Xenopus tropicalis: one gene and its partners. The protein of the gene in region 3 interacts with the protein of the main gene of each other region in a biochemical or structural test. Links are inferred from orthologs where the notes say so. Each region holds a gene or a part of one and is shown on either strand. Other genes may lie near its edges.

Region 1 (5,370 bases), on a different chromosome or scaffold from region 3:
GTGATTGGTTATTTGGTAGCCCCATGTGGACAGGCAGACTATAGTAGGCTCTGTTTGGCAGTGCACATGGTCATACCTCCAAAACTTGCCTCTATGCCAGAAATGTAAGAATGGGCACCAAGTTTGAGGCCACTGGGAGCAACATCAATGCAGTTGGTGAGCAACATGTTACTCACGAGCCACTGGTTGGGGATTACTGCTATAGAACATCATTTCTAAATGCTGCCACTTTACTTAGTAGACAGGCGTGCCGTTGGGCCTCTATATCATTAATTTCATTAGTCAGAAAGCTATATTGTTCAGATCACTGTAAAAGTATCAGTGGTACTGCATACTCTGATTAAATGCAAAAATATTATTGTTAGAGCACAGGATTTTGATTTGTATGAATAAAGTACAGTTTGGAAAAGTAAGATGGAAAGACTCCTCCGGAGATCTTGACCTAGGTCCTGGCACTTCCCTCAGCCCCCCTTTGGATAACCTTGATCGTTTTTGTTTTGTTTCAGAGTTGCAGCTATTTAATTATTTCACCCTTTCCTTTATGATTATTAGTTCCAAAAAAAGTTGTATTTCTATCTCAAATTCCTATTAGAAAATAAATAGAGATAAAATAATATCACTGTTTTCATGACCTTTCAGTTCTTGTTCGCTAAAGAGCAAGGAGGCAGGTGGCCAGACCACATTAAGGCATTGCTCAGATCTTTATGATATCAAAAAGTGACCATTTTTCCTGTTATTACTGTTGTTGTATTGGATACAGTTTGTTTTTTTCTATTTTTATCTTATTTAATAAGCATTGGGTGTCCAATTTAAACACCTCTGGGGAAAAGCATCCAGTGTTCTATGCATGGACAATTTTGATTGCTCAAGAGGTTTGATAAATGTAAAACAGATGGAGAAACTCTCATATGTCATCACTCAATCTTGATGTACAAAGACTAAGGAGCTGATTGTTACCCCTTATAGGTGTTAGACTGACATGCAACGTGAAAAAACAGTAGAGAGACTTGGTATTTTAGGGGATTACTGAATGTTCTTTCATTTTCTCCATCCTGAATCAATTTATATTAACCTTGAGAAACCCCAGCAATGCAAGACCCTCTGAGGTTTATGCTACAAACATATGTATTTAGGAATGCAGACGATATTTGTCTTTTTTAAACAACACATTCTTTTTTATTGTGCAAGAAATCATATTAGACATACGGGGTCCTGCTGAGTTTAGCTCTATTTTGCAGATCCTTGACGGGGAGATTTGAGCACTCATCAGTTGAGTGACCATCGTGCTAAAGGTCTCCTATGCATTCTTTTGGTAAACTATGAATTTATTTTTCACATTAGAGAATATTGCTATCAATTCCTCTTTATGCTGAACTGTATCAATGTTAGAACTGGTTTTGCAGAGAAAGGATAATATGAGAATGAAAGCCTAGTTCATGGAGGTTCTACTCAATTATAGCCATGGGAAAGCCAAGCTAGAACCAAAACTTTCTAGGTCTGTTTTAAAGGTCTGTACGACTTGATGCATTTACAAAGTTGAATGTAAATGCTTTTTATTTTGTAAATTTCTTGAGGAGTTAGTTTTGGCTTCTTACTTTGGAGTGGGACTGTGCCCTTCTCTGACAAAGAACCTGAGGGACCTTTCATGCAATTCCAATTTTTGACCTCATCATGCTGCTTGTTGCTTTTATAGCTGAGGAGCATGTACTTTATAAAACCAAGTCCTCCCACCGAGTCTAGTTCATGGAGGAGGATCTACTTAATTATAGCCAAGGGAAAGCTAGAGCCAAAGCTGTATAGATCTGTAGGACTGTTGATGCATCCACAAAATTAAATATAAATTCTTAAAAAATTACTTAAAGAGTTAGTTTTGGCTCCTGGCTTAGGAGAGGGGATATTCCCTGTTTGACAAAGAACCTGAGGGACCTGTCATACAATTCCAAATCTTGGCCTCTTTATGCTGAGTGTTGCTTTTATAGCTGAAGAGGAGCATGTACTTTATTAAACCAAGTCCTCCCACAGAGTGAAAATAGCTTATTCTTTTCATTAGCCAGCAACTGTGCTGAGACATGGACTAGAAAGTCTGCTGTTAGGCTGAGTCCACCAAATGCTTGCATATCTTTGGCTAATAGCACACACGTCATTTCTATCATAGGAGAACTTTCTGGAACACACAGTTCCATGTTCTATATTAACTTACATGAAGGGTCACTGGAGGGGACTTGTTTCCCCTCAGGTTGTTCATTTGAGGGCTGCAGACTGGGTGCCCATGACTTCAATAAGGATTATCCAATAAATATAACACAATGATGAAGTAAGTGACCACTAATGTGCGCAATCTAAAAACACCTCTGCCAAATAAAGAGATCTATTGGAAGTGCTCCACCTACAACTCAAGTGGCAGGGCCAGGAGGTGCATTGTTTTAAGGGCTCTGGCACACGGGGGAGATTAGTCGCCCGCGATTAACTCCCTGTTCGCGGGCGACTAATCTCCCCGAGTTGCCTACCCCTGCCATCCCACCGGTGAACATGTAAGTCGCCGGCGGGATGGCACATGCGGCGGCGCGATTTCGCGCAAATCGCCCCGCCGCGTCTGCCATCCCGCAGACGCGGAGATGGAAAGTCATTTTGGCATTTTACTGCCACATTAGTGCCACCTATAACACTATATTTATTCTGCAGAAAGCTTTATCATACCTGAGTAAACAGCCCTAGAAGCTTTCTCTGTTTGTTTAAGATTGCAGCTGCCATAATAGCTTGGTCTTCATAGCTTCCTGCTTGCAGTTTAGCTGTTATAGCTAAGATTACACATTCCTAAGGGAGGGATGAGTGAGTTTTATGAATTCTTATGGGAGGGGGAGCAGGAGAAAAAAGGAGACCAGAATTCCTGTGTTTCTTTTGAAAGAGGAGTCTTACTTAGTTTTTACCTTAACTTCTCCTTTACAGTTATTAAGTTTTTGTGAAGTTTTTTATTGGTTTATGCTTGTACAAAAAAGTTATAATGAACATAGTTGAAAAGAATATAGATCAGAGATGAGTTACCCGTATTCTGGATAGTGGACAGATCTTCGTATGATGGCCTTCGAGAGCCGCGGAGAACTCGGTGTGCATTTGCAGCTTGTGTGATTGGCTATTTTGATAGTTACAGGCTCTGGTGCTTGAGTTAATGGAACTGAGATTTCAAAGAGCTAAAGAATGAGAAAAACATGATCAGTTTTTGTTAAATTGTATTTTTACATTTTTCTTTATGTGCCTTTGAAGCTTGAAAATTGAGGTGATGTAATTGAAAGTCATGGGGCAAATGTCTCTCACCAACCTGCTGGTTTGCTTCTTCTGGTCCAGAGCAGTTGCTTCCACTGGGGACTTGGCAGGTGGGCACCCCTCAATTTTTGCTGATTGTACAAAAATATTCATATGTTTTACCCATGATCATTCCTGTGGTTCCCAATGACAAGGTAGTTTCGGGTGCTTTCATGTCCATGGGAGAACATAATTTCCCACAAAAGTGATACTGACATTTTTATTTTGTTTACAGAGATATATTTCTGTAGGGGAGGGTATTATAAGTAATGTATCAGTGATGACAAAAAGTTCTGCAGCCCAATTAATTCTATCCAGGATGCAACATCCTTGCAGCAGGATCTTGACCAACTGGCAATCTGAGCAGCTAAGTGGCAGATGAGATTTAATGTGGATAAATGTAAGGTCATGCACCTGGGATGTAAAAATATGCAAGCCCCGTATACCCTTAATGGGACTGCACTAGGTAAATCCATAATGGAGAAGGACTTTGGAGTCCTTGTAGATAATAAACTTGGCTGTAGCAAGCAATGCCAGGCAGCAGCTGCAAGGGCAAACAAGGTTTTGAGCTGTATTAAAAGGGGTATAGATTCACGGGAGGAAGGGTTATACTTCCACTGGTGGGGTTTTTTGTCTTCCTTTTGATATATAGGCATTGCAGTTGAACTTGATTAACGTGTCCTTTTTCACTAACTTATTATGTTACCCTCCTCTCTGCCCTCCTTGGACACTCCAGCTGCATTAAGGTATTGGCTTGCGGGAAAACTTTGGGAGGACAAAAAGCCAAATATGTTTTACCACCAGCAATTTCCATTATGGCCAGTTGGTAAGCACTTGCAGGAGACTGCGGTAGTGCAGATTTTAGCGGGCGCCTAATCTCCTCTTGTGCCAGTACCCTTAGCCATCATGTTGGACTTGGGAAGAAGTACAAAGTTATTATGGGGTTCCTGCCAGCCCCCAAACCCAGCATTATTGTTCCAGCCAGAGAACAAGGACAGTCCAAATGGGTAGGGTGCTAGGTGATAAGTGATAATGAGACATTTCTATACAAAAGAGGTATATCATTGAGTCAAGAACAGCATGGCTGTGTGTGTTTCTGTGGATATGGCCGTGTCTTACAGTTTTATATGAATCACAGTTGTAATGAAATTAGACACTAAAGATACTAGTTTGTGCTCCAGCCTGCTTGAAAACCAGAAGAAAATGTTGTAATAATCCAATGCAGTACATAGAATTGTCTGTAGCAATTTGTCATTATTTGAAGCGTCTTTAGATCCGACATCTGGCTTCTCTCATGCTGTCAGATTAGCTACACTTTTATTAATGTAGCTGGAGACCAACATTTTTTTAATGATTTGTGGAATGGATTTAAAAAAATGCTACCAATGTGCTTTTTCAGCCTATTGTGATACTCATAAAAAGGTCAGCAGTCAAATAGTGGGGAAGATTTCTAATGAGATAAGGAAAGGGGGGAGGCTGCTGGAACACAAGGTTCTTATCTGCTGTAAACATCTGGTTCTGTTTATTTATTGTGAAGCCAGAGGGGCCAACGACTACAATACCAGCGCTGAACAATGAGCATCCTAAACTCACAATTAGCAATTGAGCAAGTTCAAGTCTGTACGTGTATAAGGAAATTCAGCAAGCAAATGTATAGATATTATCCAACCAGCAAGGAGTACAATTTTCTGATAATGGCATCCTAGCATATGGGTATTGTACAGAGCTGAGCAAATTGGGGATTACGCCTTAAGTGTTTTAATTATGACCCTTCAAACACATTCTACAAACCATCCAAAATATCAATAAGAATCAATAATCTACACAATGTAACACCCATTTCTCTAAAGGCCATGTATGTAAGTCAAGCTTTTTTTTGGTAATGGTTTCATGACCCTAAGGACAAGGAAAGGAATTTACATTAAGCCCCTCAGTTACACAGACCCCCAGCTGTGGCCGTGTTGTGCATTCCCCGCCGTGCAGAGGAATCTAAGCCACTTTAGTGATGTATAACAGAATATAGAGCTTATTTGCTGAATATTTATAACATGCTCCATGCAGAGAGCTAAA
Region 2 (5,370 bases), about 96 Mb from region 3:
TGTCTTTCTGCCCAGACTTGACCTGATTTACAGCTGCTCCAGCAAAGCCTGACAAAGCTGGCATTATAAAACTTGGCAACATGCCTACAGTTTGGGCCATGTTCCATTACTTAAAGGCTGCTCCTTTATAACTTGCTCGGTGAGGAAAAAGGAAAACCTAACTAGAGTCTCCGCTTTCCAAGAACTGGTAAATGCAATGTAACTCTCCCAAATAGGCCACGTTTAAAAAAGAATAAAGCTTAATTCACACGTATTTCATAATAGTTTCAACAATAATAAATGGTTCCCCTCATTTCTAACATGAGACATGCTGTGCTGGATGCAGCAGGCTATAAATTGAACTTATCATTGGGATATCTTCTAAGTACAGCCATCCAATTAACTGTTTAATGCCAAACACATGGGATGTAATTAACGTATTCACTGATAAGCTTGCAGAGCTCTGTCTTGCTCTTCTGAGAGTAAGAATCTGAGGTAATGGTACTGATGGCAACAGAGGCATGTAAACAGCCAGAGTCAGCACTATGTTCACACAGATCTTGTATAAATTGGACAAAGGGCAATTTAACCATTTATTTGCAGCATGAAACGCACAACTCAAACACACAAATTAATCTGGAAAATATTTAAAAATGCAAATACAACAAACAGAATGAAATGCTGTTTATAAACGAATCCCTTACTGTTTCTTTAAAACCTTTTTAACTTAGCTTCAGGAATTGTATCACAGTTTTAGAATATAAATCATATTCAAGTTTCAGTCTCTGTTATACTGCTACAGGTACAACATGCTCCTTGATATTAGGTGTATCTATAGCAAAAGTATGGACATACTATATACAGAAAGCGGAGCATATCCACTTATAGTTAAATTGAATAAATTCTGTATATTCCCACCTGTTATTGGCAACAGGAAGAGCAATCTCAAACTTTGCCAGGAACTGAAAATATTGCTCTTCAGTCTGTTTGGTGAATCCAGTTCCAACCAGCAGCATTCTGAGATCTTCTGCCTTAATCACCCCATTCCGGGCCACAGACTTGGAGCTCTTAATGTTAATAATCCTCTCCAAACATTCTGACAACCAAACAGGGTCCAAGAAGTAAAGGTTTCTTAGGCCATGGCTAGTGTCAGGAAAGTGAAGCAAAGTCCCAGTTTCTATCAAGAAACCGATCGCTGCAGGATACAGAGAAGAAAAGGAAATTAATGATATTGCCCCTCCCACAGGCAGGGCTGCCTTTAGTGGTAGTGAGAATCACAGCAAAACAGTGAGGCCCCATTCTTTTTTTTTTTTTTTTTAGCGTCTGTCGTAAACAGCTCTGCCTAAAGCCACTAAAAGAATGAAAGCTGTATAGTAGCTAAGGGCAGGAAAAACCACATATATCAGAAACCTTTGCCCCAAATTATCCTAATATATAGCTGATATATAGGAAAAGAAATACCCCACATATGAAGATGCTAGGTACTAGGTGGATGCCATCCCGTGCCTTTGCCCAAAAGCAATAATAATTAATAACCTGCATTGTAGAATGTAAATAATGCAATATAAATACACAAGCTAGCACAGATAATGCCCTAATTAAAAATGTTCCAATGCACATACTGATTCTCACTCATTCAATTTGGGTCACATACCTGCCTGCATGTCTTCATAATCGCGTATATCGTTTCCAGGGCTCTGTTCAATAATCTGTTCTATCTGCTCATCAGTCAGGTATTGTACCTCATCCCCTTGAGCTCGTCTCTGCTGCTCAGCTACCACAGCCTCCTGAAGGTTCAGGTAGCTTCTCGGGATCTATTTGCATAACCAGAAAAGACAGAGATTTTGGATAGAGGATATGACCCCATCACCAAAAGGTAATTATATAAATTTTGCGGCCACTGCAAAGAACTGATTCTGGTGTTAAGACTGGCCATGCTTGAGAGATATCCCATGGAGTATTTTGAGCCAATAATATTTTTTTGACTCAATTAATCTGAAATATTGTTTGTAGAGCATAAAACGTACCAGCCTTCCCACTAGTTTTTGGGATCCAATGGTACTGCCTACATCCCTCATATTGCAGGCAGCATGGAATATCAGCTGGCGCAGACCATCGAGTCCCTCCAATGTTTTGCAAGAGAGTTCACTGAATAGTGAAAGCCAGAGGAAAGAAAATTACATAAAAATTGTAACATAACATTAAACACCCTTAAGTTAAAATGTGCTCACTGTAAGTGCTTGAAAGTGATATCAGGGAACCCAGTTGCTCTGGAGCCAGATGGGGAGCGACACAATGCCAGAACATAAGCTCGAAGAGTGGCAATTCTCTCCAACCGGAATTTGGTTTCTATGAAGTCAAGGTGCGTCCCTACAACCAGAACAACGGCATTGGGAGCTTTTGCCTGGAAAACAGATATCAGCTTTATCAAACAATCTGGCTACGTCAAAAAATCCAGTAACAGATAAAATAGATGAGGTGGCATTAGTAAGATTGGCTGCATGGTAACTTTTTACTTTTCTTTACAGCTCTATACCATTATCAGTATTAAGCTAACATTTTAGCACCCCCCAGAGATTGTAATTGCTTACCTTATCCCTTGGCTGGTGCTCCTGTTAGCAAAAAACCGCAATAGCCCGGGGTAGCAACAAGACATTGATCCTCTTCTTCTCCTGTCTTTGCGTCACTTGTGTATGCGCAGTAGAGTGAAAAGCAGAACTTTAACAAAAAAGTCAGCATTTTAATCCTACTGCACATGCGCCAGGAAGCGGAAGAATGAAGACGGACAGAAGAAGATCGCTGTCTCACAGCTACCCTGGGCTGGAGCACCAGCGCGGGGTAAGCAATTACAATCACTGGGGGCTGTTTTTCCTTCTCCTTTAAGCTTTAACACTCTAACCCAGAGACAAGATCTGATCTCATTATAGAATTGGAAATTCCACTTTCCTCCTAAATATCATGCCTACAAAATTGCAGCTGTGTGTCAACACTTTAATAGGCCCGAATGAGTTGCCTAGACATGGGCAATATGGTATAAATAAATTAATAATCTTTTATGTAGTCAAATATACAATACAAGTATAGGATTTATTATCTGTAAACTCATTGTTCAGAAACTTCTAAAATACAGGAATGTTTAAGCAAACAATTTTTCTTTGACAGGTTTCCTTTTTCTCTGTTATAATTACTTGATGATAAATATTGGAACATTAATCCACGGTGGTGGCAAAATAATACTATTTTTTTTTAAATGTTTTCAGTAGGATTAAGGAGTGTTTTCCTAATTAAGAAAAGGCCCCTTATCCGGAAAACTGTAGATCCCAAGAATTACACATAACAGATACCTTGCCAGTATTGATCTTCTTTGACACATGCAGATAGTTACCTCTTACCTCTATGTTCAGTAGCCAGAACTGAAGATTGGCAACAGCCTCCTCGCCAAGAGCAAGGTTCCAGACTACCACATACAAGGCTTTGTCAGTGAAGAAGCACTGGTTCACAGCGGACATTGCATTCGAACCTCCAACGTCCCACACATGGAACTGCACAGAATCAACCTACTTAAGCAAAAGGGAGAGACACGAAGGGCTCTGTGTGAAGGCAGGTTACTCAGTACAGACCTTTGTAATAATAGAATGAAACACAGTAAGAGTGGTTAATTGACTAATTCCATAACATAGTCAAAGCCAATCCAACCTTCCTTTTAAATCTTCCTATTGTTTCCCCCCACACACACACCAAACTACTAAGAAGAGAGGCTTGTAAGGTGATTTGGCAATGCTTTAAAAATATGTTAGAAGGCATTACATATAAATTAAAGGGGTCCATATGTATAGCTGCAAGCCTTGTTATAATATCCATCTTGTGGTAGAAAATAAATTTGACATTTCTTTAATGCTAATCAGATACATACAGAAACATCATCAATATCTAAATCAACTGCAAAAAAATATTTGCCACAGGTTGAAAGTGTGGGTGCATTAAAAAATTTATATATATATATTGGTTCCTTTTTTCCTAAGTGGTGTACAGGCTATCTATAACCTTACTGGGACTAAAGGTGCCCATACACCTTAAGATCCGCTGGCTTGGTGATGTCGCCAAGTGACCGGATCTTCTCCCGATACCCCCCATCTACGAGTGGGCGATATCAGGAGAATCCAGGCTAATTCGATCATTTGGCCCTGGGGCCAAACGATCAAATTATAATGACGGGCACAGGCAAAGTCGGTCCGGGGACCGCATCAACAAGCTGATGCAGTCCCTGATTCGACTAGATTTTCTAACCTTGCCCGATCGAGATCTGGCCGATTTCAGGCCAGATATTCTAACCTGCTCAATCGAGATCTGGCCGATTTCAGGCCAGATATTGGTTGGGCAGGCCCATCGGTAGTCCCCATACACGGGCCGATCAGTCTAAGGGACCGATATCAGCAGCTAGAATCGGCCCGTGTATGGGGACCTTAAGTTAGGTAAATCCTTAATGGAGAAGGATCTTGGGGTAATTGCAGATAAAAAACATGTGTGCAGCAGGAAATGTCAGACAGCAGCAGCAGCAATGTTCGTCAAAATACTGTCCTGTACTTGAAGGGGTAATAAAGGTAAGGTAGGATCTATTTAAAATATGGAGTGCAGTTTGCGTTTCCATCATATAATTCATTAATAAAGGGATATTGTCATGATTTTTTATGGGGTACTTTTTAATTCTAAATTACACTGTTTACATAGCAAATAATTCACTCTACCATTTAAAATTATTCTTAATTTCTTAATTATTCTTAGTTTTAATATTGGTGTGTAGGCGCCATCTTAGTGCATTGTGCCCGAGTCTGATATTTAAAAAGATGCCAGCGCTGCACATTAGAACTGCTTTCAGTGAAATGCAGAATATGGCTAGCCCCATGTGAAATTTCAAAGTTAAATATAAAGAAATCTGTTTGTGTGCAGGATTCTGCTGGAGAATACCTATCAACTGATGCCTTTTGAAAAAAACACATTTTCCCATGACAGTATTCCTTTAAAGAAATATGGAAAGCCCAGAAAAGAGTGGCTGCATTTTTTTCAACATTGAAAAAGCAGTGGTTAAGGGGAATATGATAGCTATGTATGAATATATAAGGGGCCCATACAATAAATGCCCTTAACCAATAAGTATCTGCAGAGAACAAAAGGACATACTATTGAGATTAAACAAACAGAGGTTTCATATTAAGGAAAGAGATATCTTTTACAGTGAGAAAATTTGTAAAATTGTGTTATTTCTTCCCTGAAGCTGTTGTACTGAAACATGTACAAGATAACTTCAAGAAAGATATGGATGCCTTTCCTTGCAAGAAAGAAAATACAAGGTGACTGAAATGAATACAACAATTACAAAGTTGATCCAGAAAC
Region 3 (5,370 bases):
AGAACCATCCAATAAGGCTATATATATATATGGCCATATTGGATGGTTCTTTCTAGTCCACAAAAACATTATACTCAGTATCAGTATCAAATTATTAAAGGTGGTAAAGAGAGCCCTGCTTACTAAACTGCATCCATTGGCACAGACATTTTCATCTCAGCCATAACCTGACAATGGGGGCACCTATCCTAAGTGAAAAAGAGTGACCAAATGCTTGTTTGACATTGCCAGACAATAACTTTAGAAGTATTTGTCATATGCTATATCATAGTACTCTTGTTTAATTCGCCAAAATATTTAATACCCATTTAATAACTAATTTTTTTTTTTTCTAAATTAATATTAATTTAGTGCTGGGTATCAGGCACCAATGAGGAGCATGCCTAATTCTTATTTTGTACCAAACTGCCATGTTGCTTCCCACAGTTGTGTTTACACCTGTAATACAAGCTTAAAGGGGGCAGTTGCAAGAGTTTATCATGGTGTCCACTGAGAGAGCATCCATTATGTTTGTGTTTACACTCAACTAGAGGAAGACTTTATATAAACTGTGATTAAAGACACAGTAAAAATTAGTTATTAAATGGGTATTAAATATGTTGGCGAATTAAACAAGAGTACTGTGATATAGTATATGACAAATACTTCTAAAGTTATTGTCTGGCAATGTCAAACAAGCATTTGGTCACTCTGGTGCCCCCATTGTCAGGTTATGGCTGAGATGAAAAAGTCTGTGCCAATGGATGCAGTTTAGTAAGCAGGGCTCTCTTTACCACCTTTAATAATCAGTATTGCATGTAAATGGTGTGCTTTATATGTCTTTTATATCTATATATATATTCTATTGTATATGTTGGAGCTTTATAAATACGTGATTAGAGTGATAATATTTACTTGTTTGCAATAATCCTCCAAAATCCAATGTTTTATAACTGGGCTTAAGATCATGGCATAAATACTCAAATATTTGTTGTATGGAACAGCATGGAACTAAAACACCTTCCAGCCCTAAACTGCTAAATATAAATAAAGATATCATTATAGGCAGGACTTACCATATGGAGAGTAACATTGAGGTCTGGAATTGACACGAGGCATGGCACTCTAGTTTTCTCCTTATATACCAGCAATGCCCCAAGAGTGTTTATAAATGGCTGCTCCCAGTCTAAAGACACAATGAAAATATGTAGGTCGGAAAAGCTAGAAAGTTTATACTATCCCCCCAAAATTTAGAAAGTTATTTCTATCCCCACAAAAAAGCATTCCAGTTTTAGAGAGTTGTTGCTGGCAGATGTGAAAACAGACAACTAACTGCACATGGAGGGTTAAATAGATCAGAGACAGCAGGGCAAGAAGTCAGCGTGGGTTTGGAAAATTGCAATACTAGAGGGCTTATTTATCAGTTTGTTGAATTTGTGAATTTGAATTTGTTTGTTTTTTTTTAAATCAAATAAACTCACATATCAAATTCTCGCTCATTTATTAATGAGGAAAACTTGTTCCAGTAAAAAAAACCCGAATATCATTGACGTCAATAGAAACTTTGAAGCTTTTAGAATTTTTACATTTGAGTTTTTGAGTTTTTTGCACTTAATAAAAACCAGACAAGTTTTTGAAACATAATTCGAATTCGTGTTTTTTAAGTGCAAAATCGTCAAAAAAAAAAATCAAACTAGATAAAACCTAGATAAATATTCCCCTTGCCGTGGGTGAAGGAGCACTGAGGGGCACAAAAACAAGCCCCTTAGTGCTCATTCTTAAAGCACACATAAAAGGGGCATATCAGCACTGAAGGCAGATGAAACACAGCTCTATTCTTCCACTGCCATGGGAAGGTAGGTAGAAAAATAGTCCATAACTTGTGCATCTGAATGCAAGTTAAGGAGCAGACAGGGGCCTCCCCCCACCTGCTCCTTATGAATAGAGCACTGAAGAATGCAGGTAACAATGTATTCATGGGAAAGGTGCAGGGCAGGGTGACTCTGCAAAAAGCATGTGATGTTGATCGCAAAAAGCAAATTGTAAATGACCCCTCAAATCTCTGGCAGGTAAATTGTTCTTGTGGGCCGATTTGGAAAAACTTGATCTAAGCAATACAAACTGTAGTAATAATAATAATGAAAAGAGCCTGGACTCTTGGCCTGAATGATGCAAAATCCATTTAAATCTAGTTTGAAGAATTTCAATCTTAAATTGTTTATGTTTCAGTTAACATTATGTCCTGAACGACCGGTACAGATATTGTTTATTTTAATGTGCACACCAGTGGCCCAAGGATTTCTTATAATGTAAAGCACATGAACACGAAACCACTGGATGCACTGAGCGCACATGAACCTCTCTAGTTTCTCATTTTCTACGTGACCTCCTTATCCACCAAGAAAAAATTCCAGACATTTTAGAAAAATACAGTATGTAATAAATTCTCAAGAGAATTATATAGTATTAATAAAAGAAATGGGCTTAGCTAATAAACAAAACTGTTCTGTCTTTTTGCTGGGTTTTCCCTAAAAGTTAAGAAAATTCTGGTTGTCCTTCTTCTGCAGTACATGAAAAACTATATCCACATATACAGTAAGATGAGGGGGACCTGCGGGTGTGGAGGGACAAGGGTCTGAACTAGGGGTATGTTAAAGCGGTACATGCCTAGCGCCACCAACAGTTGCACACTAGGTACATTCCTCTTCTGTCTACCCCTAGTTCTGGCCAGTGTTGGACTGGCCTACCAGGATACCAGGAAAACTCCCGGTGGGCCCAAGTGTCAGTGGGCCCTCTTGCTTCTATCTATTTAGCCCTATTTCTGTATGCGAACAAGGAAGCTTGATAGATGGAAGAAGAGAGGATAGTATGTAGAGAAAAGAGACTCGGAGAATAAAGAGTTTGAAGGAGTAGAGGAGCAATTAAAGTTTTGAGAGTGGGCCCTTTGCCCAGGGTTTTCTATTGGGCCCCTGCCATCTCAGTCCGACACTGGTTCTGGCCCTGGCTGTCAAAATGAAAGATCAATAGAAGAGGGGAGCATTAGTAAAAATCAATCAAAATAGCAATAACATTGTAGCTTCACAATAGATTAGACTGGGCTAAATTGCACCTGGGTTGTAACTCACGACAATCAATCAGGCGATTTCTTTCAGCGTTTAACCTGCAGCTGAATGAAAAATCCAATCACCGATTGGTTGCTATGTGTTACTGCTTAGGTGTAAATTTGCCCATTGTTTATAAATGAGCTCCACTTGTGTTTCCAGTTGCAAGCAAGACAGGAATGCAGAAAGTTCAAAAACATACATGAAGATCAACTAAAAACGTACTGAAATCTGTAACAAACATTTAATCCTCTTAAAGAGATACTATATGCTACACATGCAGAACTTTGCTCATCATGGGGAAATGCTGACATAGTTTAATGATATTTTTATTATAGGATATGAGCACAGTTAAAGGAATACTACTGCAGCATTATATAGAGATCCATCAATGGTCATTTTATAACTGACCACAGCACAATTTCAGCAGATCATGTCCTCTCTACTGTTTTGAATGCAGGAAGGCTGGGGTAGGGCAAAGGGAAGGTCATAGTTATCCTTCCCAACAGTGGTAGCTTATATGAAGCTAAAACTTTACTTATAAAGGGGATGTTCACCTTACAACAACAGTCTGAATTTGAACAGCCCCATCAGAAAAAACTGATTATGATAAATCATCTTTATTATTTATTAGTCTTAGTCTAAGAAATCCCTTACAGAGAGAGCAAAACAGAGAGTGTTTTAGCAGCAGTGATCTGACAGGGGCACTATTGCCTGAAGATAAACATCCATTTAAGTGCAGACCTGTGCTTGGGACTCCTAAAAGGCCATGTAAGTATCCTATAGTGGTTTGTAACCCCAGAGTTTCTGCGGCCCTGATTACAGCATAGATATCTTGCATCTTAAAATAGGATCCTTACTATTGAGGCAAGGCATTCAGCCATAGAACCTGAGTGCAACACAGTAGTGGGTGATGGATGAATAAGCAGTGTAACAAGCAGAGTAATAAAACTGAATTATATTTTAAAGTACTTAGAACTTGGTTCATAAATTAACCACTTCCCCCATCTTTTGATATTTTTCCAGCCATAAATGTTATCTTTCAAAAAAGGATTTTAATAATTATTTTCATGAGAATAAAGATTCTAGAACACATCTTCTTAGTAGCTAGTAGAAAATATAGCTGTAGTTCACAGTAGTGGGGGTCTTCATACATTAAAATATCAGATCTTTTCTCTGGCACATTTCTTTCTCTTCCACATAACAGAACTTTATTGAAATATACTGTTTTTGTCCACCTACCTCTTACAAAGACATGGACGCTGGCAGCTGTGGTCCCTTTGATCCTGACGTTGATAAATTTGTAGTGGCACCAGTAAGAGCCTGTGTCGTTAGCCCTAGCTCCTGTCAGCCTGAACACCTTGCAGTAAGGTTTGCTAGGAATCCCCTCACAGTCTTCCTCAGCCACACTGCGTGTATCACTGAAATTTATAGTCACTTTGGAGTCTTTGTCCTTTGTATCTGTGTCTGTAAAACCCCCTGGCCAAGACCACTGCAGGGGCCTTTGTCCCCTAGAAATCAATAAGCAGACAATTGTATTTGTTAAAATGTAACATAAACATGAAGAACTTGACTACACATACTTTTAATGTTAAGGTATCCATTCTTGACTTTCCCCACCCACACTAAGAGTGAAATAGAAGAAAGTATAAAATAATTTCATATTTTATGTAGACTGGGTTTATATCACAGCATAAGTTGCTTTCCTTGGATCTTACTTACTGCCTTCTTCATCCCATTCCTTCCACACTTCGTCAAAAATCATTCAAATTAAAAACATACACTCATAACCCCTGTTTTGAAAAAACATATTTAAACATGGTAAATGTCTATTTATATGGTATCTAGCACCACCTCTATGCTGAACATACTTTTTTAAAATTTTCCTCTGCCAATCTAAATTACATACGTGCAAATGGCTACATTTGATGGACATTTGTCTTATTTCAACCACAGCTACTCCTCAACTATTTACAATATGCTGGTAGAGGCATAATATACCTAAAATGCTATTCAGATATGAAAAAATGTGGAATTGAATAGTCAAAAAAACTTTGGAAAGCTGTCTTTGGCATGAAGACCTCCAGTTGGAAAGCATTGCTGGTCATAACAATAATTTAGTAGAATTATATTAACACTAATACCCTTTATAAGTAACCTGTCTCTCCATGCTTCTGGACCTTTTATTTTAATATTGGAGAGGTCTAATATCACTTTAATCTAAGGATTTTTAAGAGCAATTTTATTGAACAACTGATTAAGTGCCAGGAGTAAGTCATCACTGGATTAG

Evidence for each region.
Region 1: the proteins of flt4 (region 3) and vegfd form a complex in vitro, tested with the Homo sapiens proteins (2 studies listed by BioGRID). The link is inferred for Xenopus tropicalis from reciprocal best matches to the Homo sapiens genes FLT4 and VEGFD.
Region 2: the proteins of flt4 (region 3) and lrrk1 form a complex in vitro, tested with the Homo sapiens proteins (2 studies listed by BioGRID and IntAct, with this or other methods). The link is inferred for Xenopus tropicalis from reciprocal best matches to the Homo sapiens genes FLT4 and LRRK1.

What each region holds. Positions count from the first base shown.
Region 1 is NC_030678.2:29,692,279-29,697,648, forward strand, and holds part of vegfd (vascular endothelial growth factor D), read right to left. Parts: intron 3,189-5,370; coding exon 3,043-3,188; intron 1-3,042. UniProt on the Homo sapiens protein: Growth factor active in angiogenesis, lymphangiogenesis and endothelial cell growth, stimulating their proliferation and migration and also has effects on the permeability of blood vessels.
Region 2 is NC_030679.2:115,738,363-115,743,732, reverse strand, and holds part of lrrk1 (leucine-rich repeat serine/threonine-protein kinase 1), read right to left. Parts: intron 3,537-5,370; coding exon 3,372-3,536; intron 2,384-3,371; coding exon 2,211-2,383; intron 2,128-2,210; coding exon 2,007-2,127; intron 1,794-2,006; coding exon 1,634-1,793; intron 1,175-1,633; coding exon 898-1,174; intron 1-897.
Region 3 is NC_030679.2:20,222,213-20,227,582, reverse strand, and holds part of flt4 (vascular endothelial growth factor receptor 3), read right to left. Parts: intron 4,592-5,370; coding exon 4,323-4,591; intron 1,166-4,322; coding exon 1,056-1,165; intron 1-1,055. UniProt on the Homo sapiens protein: Tyrosine-protein kinase that acts as a cell-surface receptor for VEGFC and VEGFD, and plays an essential role in adult lymphangiogenesis and in the development of the vascular network and the cardiovascular system during embryonic development.